Linked DNA regions of Neodiprion lecontei. The protein of the gene in region 1 interacts with the protein of each later gene in a biochemical or structural test. Links are inferred from orthologs where the notes say so. Each region holds a gene or a part of one and is shown in the gene's direction. Other genes may lie near its edges.

Region 1 (3,924 bases):
CTGTTAAATTGGTATGAGATGAAGATTGTATATTATCCGGAATAGAGGAACGGACGTCCTACGGATTATCTAGGACAGAATATAACGATACCCAAGGGCTAGCTGCAGAAATCAGGTCATACCGAGTTATCTAGCATATCCGGTATTTCGATATACCGGTTTGAAATGTATGGCAGTAGCGTAACAGTCAGTTAATGGAAAAATACTGCGCATTTGTATACCCGCTCCATTTTTCTTTATTGCAACTACGTCGTCCCAGAAAACAATTTCGCTAACCTTCCCTTGATCAACGCTGACTTCAAGGTCATAAGACGGTTCAAATTCAAACTTAAATCGGACGCATAACATTTATTCGTGAACCATTTATCATACATATACAAAATGTAGAGTTTCTTGGCATACAAGCGTACGTTCCACATTTACACGAGTTTTCAACGATTTAAAGAATCCCTGATTAATCCACCGCAGTGTAATGATTTACTTCTTTCTTTAGCTTTAACAATAAGTAAAAGCCACCTGGCCGTAATTGAGTTGAGAATGTTGTGATTATCAAAATTTCTGGAAATTCGATGCAATACTTCCACCATCAATACATGCAGAAAATTTTCCTTATACACAAATCAGCTGCTCCGCGTAATGTCAAACTACGCAGAACCTCGACTTGCTGGATACCTTGGGCCGGTCCTAGTAGCTTCGCACGGTGTCATTACGTTCAAATTTTCATTAATTAGACATCCGTTACCGTGAATGTGTCCAGAAATTACAATTTCCCGACATTGTCACCCAGGTCGACGTTCCTCGGCACTGCTACCGGGTCGACATTCGTCTGCAAAAAGCAGGTCTAGCTCGTCGTAGACTTAGTCGCGACCTCCCGAATTTCAATCGCTTATATCACGGAGACAAGTGCAGATACGAGGTTCGGCTTTTGCATGGAACTAGAGCAAAGCTTCGAGCTCACACTGGTACATTGGAAAAGATTCGATCGCATCCCCCCAGGTCAGCACCAGGGCGACCGTTGCTCAGGGTGTGGTCGATGTCAAGACGCACGCTTCGCGGAGAGTGATTTTTACAAGGGATCCTTTACCGCGACGGTTCAAAAATCTTGCGTAGTCGATAGAGCATACTTCGTAGTACCTGGTAGCAACAGGAGGTCTTCAGGAGTTCGATGGCGACAGTAAAACACCCGAGGAAATACCGTTCGGTCAGTGTCGCACGCGCGAACGTCGCGAAGCGCACCGCCTAAAACGCGCTCACGGTCTCTCTCCATGGTCCGCGCTATCCTATACTAGCAAACTGTTGCTCAGATTTTTTACGAGTATTATCCATCTCAACTACCAGTGTGATCATACGCGCAAACGCATTAAACAGTATAAACTTTACTTGTGTCTCTGACGGTCTTTCAGCTGTAATTTTCCATTGTCAGTAGTGGTGTTTTGATCATTTCATCGCGACTACTAGATCGATCAGCTATGGGAGACAAATCAGCATCGTCGCCGGCAGTCGCAGCTAACCCTGCAGCTAACAGCCCAGCCGTTCAAGCCGTTCCTGCCAAAAGAGCAGCGGCTTCGCCCAAGTCAAAGAAGCCCCGTGCAAAACCGGCGCACCCACGTACTTCCGAGATGGTGAACGCGGCTATCGCTAGCTTGAAGGAGCGCGGCGGATCGTCTCTCCAGGCAATCAAGAAGTACGTTGCTGTCACGTACAAAATCGACGCGGAGAAACAGGCTCCTTTCATCAAGAAGTACTTGAAGACTGCTGTTACTACGGGAGTATTGTTGCAGACTAAGGGTAAGGGAGCCTCGGGCTCTTTCAAGATCGCGAACGCGAAGACCGACGCCCCGAAAGCAAAGCCGAAGGTACAGCGCGCCGCTGCAAAGCCAGCTGCACCAAAAAAGGCAGCTGTTGCCAAAAGCCCAAAGAAGTTGACCGCCGCCAAAAAATTGGTAGCCGCAAAGAAGCCTGCAGCCGCTACGGAGAAACGCAAGGTTGTCAAGAGCCCGGCCGCAAAACCACCGAAAGTAAAGACTCCGTCGAAAGCAAAGAAAGCAGTCAAGGCACCTACCCGCAAACCGAAGGCTCCGAAGCCGAAGAAGGCTGCTCCAGCTCCAAAGGCGGCCAAACCGGCAGCCAAGAAGGCGGCTGCAGCACCGAAGAAGAAGTGAACAGCTACATTTCGTCACCAACACCAGCAATCGTCAGAAAAATAATTTAAACGGCCCTTCTCAGGGCCATCAATTTATATCTATGCAAATGAATTGACATCGTCGATGCCCTGAACCATATTCCAATAATCCCATATAGGTATATCCCATGGAAAAAACGTCCATAAATTGTAATTTCCTTCGCAGCAGAGGTATTTGTACGACCATAGTGGACGCATAGAGCGTCGGCTTGAGTAAGAATTTGCATTAGGTTTTGCTGTTAGGTAATAGTATCTTGCACAGTTGCAGCTGATTTCCGGGATATTATAATTATTTATTGTTTAGGTCTGAACCATTGTTGGAATTGTAGCGGAATCGTGTTCCGTATATCTGCCGGCGAATGGGAGTCTTAAGTGAGGTGGGCTTCAGTTGCTTGGCAACATTTCAGTGTTCAGACCCTTGCTATTATTATACATGAGCCGAGTGCACAATGCACAATCCCGGAGTTCCTGAAAGACCCCGTAGGAAAAATATCAGCTGCTTGGTTATCGTTATTCAATTCTGACAGCTGCTGTAGCAAAGGTCAAAGGGGTATGTATGGTATGTATTTGTGTAAAATCCTGTTCAATGACGTCGAACATTGTTTTTCGGTATTTTGAAAAAATGAAGATCGATTTTCTCTCAACTGAACATTACTGGTATAACATTGTTTTTTTTTCATTCTCCCCTAAAAAACGAGAAATTGCGCGAATGTCACGGCTTTGTTAGAAGAGGTTAAAAGGCAGTATCGAAATTATCTTGACGAAATACAGTTTAATCTGACAATTATTTCGTTCATCTATAAGATGATGTTTAAGCCAGGGTATCCAGCGATATGAAAATTCAAAATTCCCGTATATTTGCTGTTATTTTTTTCAACCGTATAGCGTTTGTGCATTATGTTGCGATCAACATTGAACACCGTGATATTCAACGGTGTAGAACCGATGAATTCGGGTGGAGTCAAAAATGTAGAAAAATCAGAAAATAAAAAGGTCACACATCGAATTTACAAACACATGAAAGTGTATTTCGTAGGATTTCAAAATATATAAAGCTGAAGTACAAAAAAGTCAAAACGAAAGGTAAAGTATTCTATGTATATCTGGCTGTCTGATGATTGCTCCGATTTTCCGTGAGAAAAAAATGCAAGGTTTGGTATTTGGGGTTTTGCGTGTTGCAGCACGTTGACTCGATGATATAATATATTATAGGGGGTGCCCTGGTCGATTTCGACGTTGCCATATGTATCTCCATCTATCAAAGTCCATGTACCTTAAAAGGACTCAACAGCCACATTCCATATGTATTCACAATTCCGAATAAAACGTTGATTTGATGCAGAAATACAGAAGTGGCACAGATTCTACAATATTGCAATAGTAGATTCGTAGAATTCATGCTGCCTCTTAATTGCGGCATAAAGTGAAAATGTATCGAAGTGATTTTGATCAAAATACGTATAGAATGGAGCACATTGAGCTCTCTTTCACCGTCTACAAACAGGACTCTCATATTCGAAGATACGTGCACATGTCACGTTGAAATCGACCGGGGGCAAACCATGTGGTGAAGGTGGTTATGGGACGATATTGTGGTATCGATGTTACCTGTGATAGAAAATTGGGTTGATAGATGGGGAATGATAATGTGCAATAACTCGTGACAGTATGAAACGATATTTGGCGAAAACTATTTGTGGCCCTGAAAAGGGCCGGTTGTAATGATTTGTCAAATGAAGAAA
Region 2 (3,924 bases), on another chromosome or scaffold:
GTGGTATATTTTGTTTCCTCTAACCTTTGGTGCCAAGTCGATGTTAAATTTTCGGTATTCCTTTTTAATCCGATCAATGCTCCATTGTTTGACAGTTTCTTTTTTCTCACTTTTATCTTCATCAGATTTCTCCGCTCCGTCGTTGGCTGCTGTATCTCCAGAGCCATCAGTTTGCGTGTCTTTCGTCGACAGTACTGGCAGGTCTGCATCACTGTCAAAATATTTCAAGAAAAATTAATTAATTGATTACTGTGATCCGATGAGATTTTGAAACTATCTGTTTCGATAAAAGTTGGCAACTCGACTTACTTGGAGATAAACCATTTTTCAATGATATTTTCAACAGTGGAATATTGGTTGCTGGCTTTTAAAAACTTCTCATCAGCTTGAAGCAATGAAGTGGTATCTGCTACGTTCTGTTTGGGAGATTTTAGATCTTCTATCCATTTTTGTAGACCATCGAAATTAAAGGTAGCCCAAAGACCACCGTAGTATTCATTGCTAAAAATTGAGGTTTCGTGTTAATGGATAAAATATTAAAAATACAAGTAAACAGATGGTGCTTTTGTTGAGAGAGTGCCTACAATCTACGTTTACATTAGTAAGTGCAGACTTTTTTACCGGCGGTTCGTTTCAGCGTTTTTTTACAATATGAATTTATATAGAAATTTATGAATAAAAAGTGATAACAGCTACCTATCAAGGTGTAGAACCCTTTTTCCGATCCTGCTAGCCGCCGCGGCGACGATGGATTCGGTCATTCCTGAGTAAAATAGTGATAAATAATTTAGTACGCTTGACAGAACACGAATGAATTGAAATATATTCTAATATATCGAGGTTTGTGATATAAAAAAATCAATACCTGTACCCACGACGACAACGTCGTATTCGGTCGGCAGGTCGTCCTCCATGGCTCGGAATAATAAAAATAACTATTCAACTCGTATAACTTGTCGCAGATTGTACCGTTTCAAGAAGCACTGACCGAAAACAGTCAATTCATTATTCGCTATTGCTCCCTTATGACAGATTTCGCAGCTAGCAACCCCATTCGCGACTCGCCCCTCCTCGCTCAGGCTTTCACCCTTTTTTGTTCAGAATTTGACAGTTCGGTCGCTCCGTCGGCGCTCCGCCAATCCCCGTTTAGAATTTTGCTGCATTTTGCTGCGCGTCCACTACGCGTCGCAATTTTGTGCCCGTCCACTTCGTTACTCGTTGCCAACTTCAAGGCTGCCAATACAACGACCGCGTTTAGGAATAAAAATCTTCGCGTATCAACACGTAATTTGACGCTTTGCGTTGTGCTTTTGATCCAAATAGGTTGATCATTTCATTCACATTTCTATCGCATTTTTTTCTACCTCGCTTTTCGACTTTCTTCGCCAAATCTATCTCTTCGACTTTTTCAGTTAAAAAACGAAACTTGAAATTGCCGCTGTTGGCGAATTCACAGTTTTCCAACCGCCGCCGGATCGTCCCGAACTTAGTCACTTGATATTTGGAACGATATTCGAAAAGATTCAAAATTCAACGCTGTGAGAGAGTTTAATAAGTTTCTGATAAATCAAACGATATGTCCAGTTTCGATGAACTTTACGAGACATATGTCAAGGACCCCCGAACCCCTTGCAACTATGGTGTCAAATGTTATCAGAAGAATCAAATTCATCGGGACAAATATAAACACCCACCTCCGGACGATCGAGTGAGTTAACCTCAATAACGTTTCGATTTCTACATTTTTCTCTGAACAATCAGTTGAATTTTATAATATTATACTACGTACGTAATACACTTCTGTTCGCAAGCTATAACCGATATTGGAAAACCTTCTTAGCAATTCCTGCAAGAGTTCTAGAAGTTGCTTCTACTCCTTGTTACGCTAACACAACAGCTAATGTGATTGTTCCAGAAGGGAAAAAACGGCACTAGATCGAAACCTAAAAAACGCACAAGGCTGGATCGGAGAAATGATGAAAAGGACGAGCCATCAATTACAGAATCCGACTCCGACTCAGAAGTTCCTGAGATAACTTCGAAGAAATGCTGTGTGTCGCTTGATTCATCTGATCAAACTGCAAGTGCTGGTCAAAGCAGTTCAAAACAAAGAGAATCTGACGTAGGAAGCGAAGATGAACAGAAATCTGATATTGTTAGCTATTCGAGGAATGAGACAGAAGATAATGAAACAGAATCGTCGACTCTTGTGGACGAAAAAGAATTTATAAAAGAAAAATTTTTGGTACATATGCCGTCAGACTTTTACAGCTTCTATGAACTTTGTAAAGAGATATCGCCTAATGACCCTTGCAGCGCATTCAAAGCTGCTGATCTTTTACTTGTTGGACCATATGATGTTTTGAATGGAAAATTATTGGATGCTAAAGTTGAGAATAACGACCTGTATCTCAGGCACTGGAGATACTTTTATGACCCTCCCGAATTCCAGGTTCGCTAAGTTATTTATAGCGTTGAGAACATTAGATGTAGGATATTTATCTGGTCATTTTAATTGCTTTTACTTTCTACAATTTCTTTTGCAGACTATTATTAAAGGCAATGACAAGGAAGGCTTGCATTTTGGTTATTGGAGAGACGAGCCAAAGAAGAATCCTGTTTTCGTTGCTAAAAACTCTATGAAAGTAGATTGCAAGATTAAACCTATGGCAGAAACTGTCTTTGGAGCTGTAGAGTAAGCTGATTTACTAAAATTAGGAAGGTATCTAATCCACATTGCGAGAATTATCTGATTTTTGGTGAATCCTGAGGGAGTGACTAAAAAAATTGAACGAATTTGCAAAGAATTAAAGTCATACATTTCACTGTGCCCAGGATTACAAATTCCTCTCAAAACTGGATTTATTCTCTATGGAGGATTAATTTAAAACTGCAATACTATTTTAAAATATCATGGTACAAATGCGTTCTTTGTTCAAAGTGATTATTTGGAGGAGAAACTTAAGACGACTAATCCATTCGCAAAGCCTAAAGTGGCCAGCTTGCGTCAGCGGCTAAAAAAATTCGCAAATGCTCGGTGCATCCGGTTGGAAAAGAGCACGGAAACCATGAGAGCCAGGGAAAGACTAGTCGTAGCCAGAACGTTTCATCGTGCAGGAATTGTGGTGCCATATAATAAGAAAACACAATTGGGATACAGAGAGCTGGCTGCAACTGATGGTCGAGTGTTTTTCATCATTGTAACTTGTTGTTCTGTTGTGATAGTTTTTCCCCCTAGAAATCAGAGAAAAGAAAAATTCATAAAAACCTGAAAATTCGTCACTAACCATTAATTTTTTACCTTTAGGAAATCTGAAGAAAATTTTAAAACAAATCGATGAATCAGAAAACGACGCTGAAAGATCTGATCACTTGATTAACCTCGAGGAAGTAGAACGACTGGCTACCATCGCCGCTGACGAGTGCGATTTCGGAACGTGCCTAGAATTGGGACACGACCTATTTTCAAGCGGTAGCGAGTATGTTCAGACCATCGCTGTTCGAATGCTTACAACCGCATACAGTCTGCTTAATCGTCCGGAATTTTTGAAAATCGTCAAGGCGCATTGCTGCGATAGAAAGACAGGCTGTGTTCTCGGAATCATTTAACGAGAAAACTGGATTGAAGCCGTAAGGTAATTTTTAAGATATGTTTTATTAAGATATGTCCACAAATACTTGTTTATGCTATTTCTTTTTTATAAATGCTAAATAAAAAGAAATACGAACGTGAATTTCGGTATCCGGCGCGGTGTATAAATTTAGATGTAACAATCCGCTCCACGCTCCACGCTCCAATTCCTCATCCGAGATCGAAATCTAATATCAATACTTACAATTCAAAAACCGTGGAAATATTCATGAATGCCTGTATAAACTGCGCCACGTTAGTTGCATCACTGCCGACGTTAACCTGTTACATTC

The links.
Region 2: the proteins of late histone H1-like (region 1) and histone PARylation factor 1 form a complex in vitro, tested with the Homo sapiens proteins (2 studies listed by BioGRID). The link is inferred for Neodiprion lecontei from reciprocal best matches to the Homo sapiens genes H1-5 and HPF1.

Annotation. Positions count from the first base shown.
Region 1 is NC_060262.1:40,413,194-40,417,117, reverse strand, and holds late histone H1-like, read left to right. Parts: upstream 1-1,327; 5' UTR 1,328-1,469; coding exon 1,470-2,162; 3' UTR 2,163-3,622; downstream 3,623-3,924. UniProt on the Homo sapiens protein: Histone H1 protein binds to linker DNA between nucleosomes forming the macromolecular structure known as the chromatin fiber. Histones H1 are necessary for the condensation of nucleosome chains into higher-order structured fibers.
Region 2 is NC_060265.1:5,898,952-5,902,875, forward strand, and holds histone PARylation factor 1, read left to right. Parts: upstream 1-1,216; 5' UTR 1,217-1,323; intron 1,324-1,412; 5' UTR 1,413-1,576; coding exon 1,577-1,708; intron 1,709-1,915; coding exon 1,916-2,452; intron 2,453-2,546; coding exon 2,547-2,695; intron 2,696-2,941; coding exon 2,942-3,180; intron 3,181-3,307; coding exon 3,308-3,609; 3' UTR 3,610-3,734; downstream 3,735-3,924. Other genes in the region: rab proteins geranylgeranyltransferase component A 1, read right to left, coding at 25-211, 310-501, 697-763, 866-914. UniProt on the Homo sapiens protein: Cofactor for serine ADP-ribosylation that confers serine specificity on PARP1 and PARP2 and plays a key role in DNA damage response.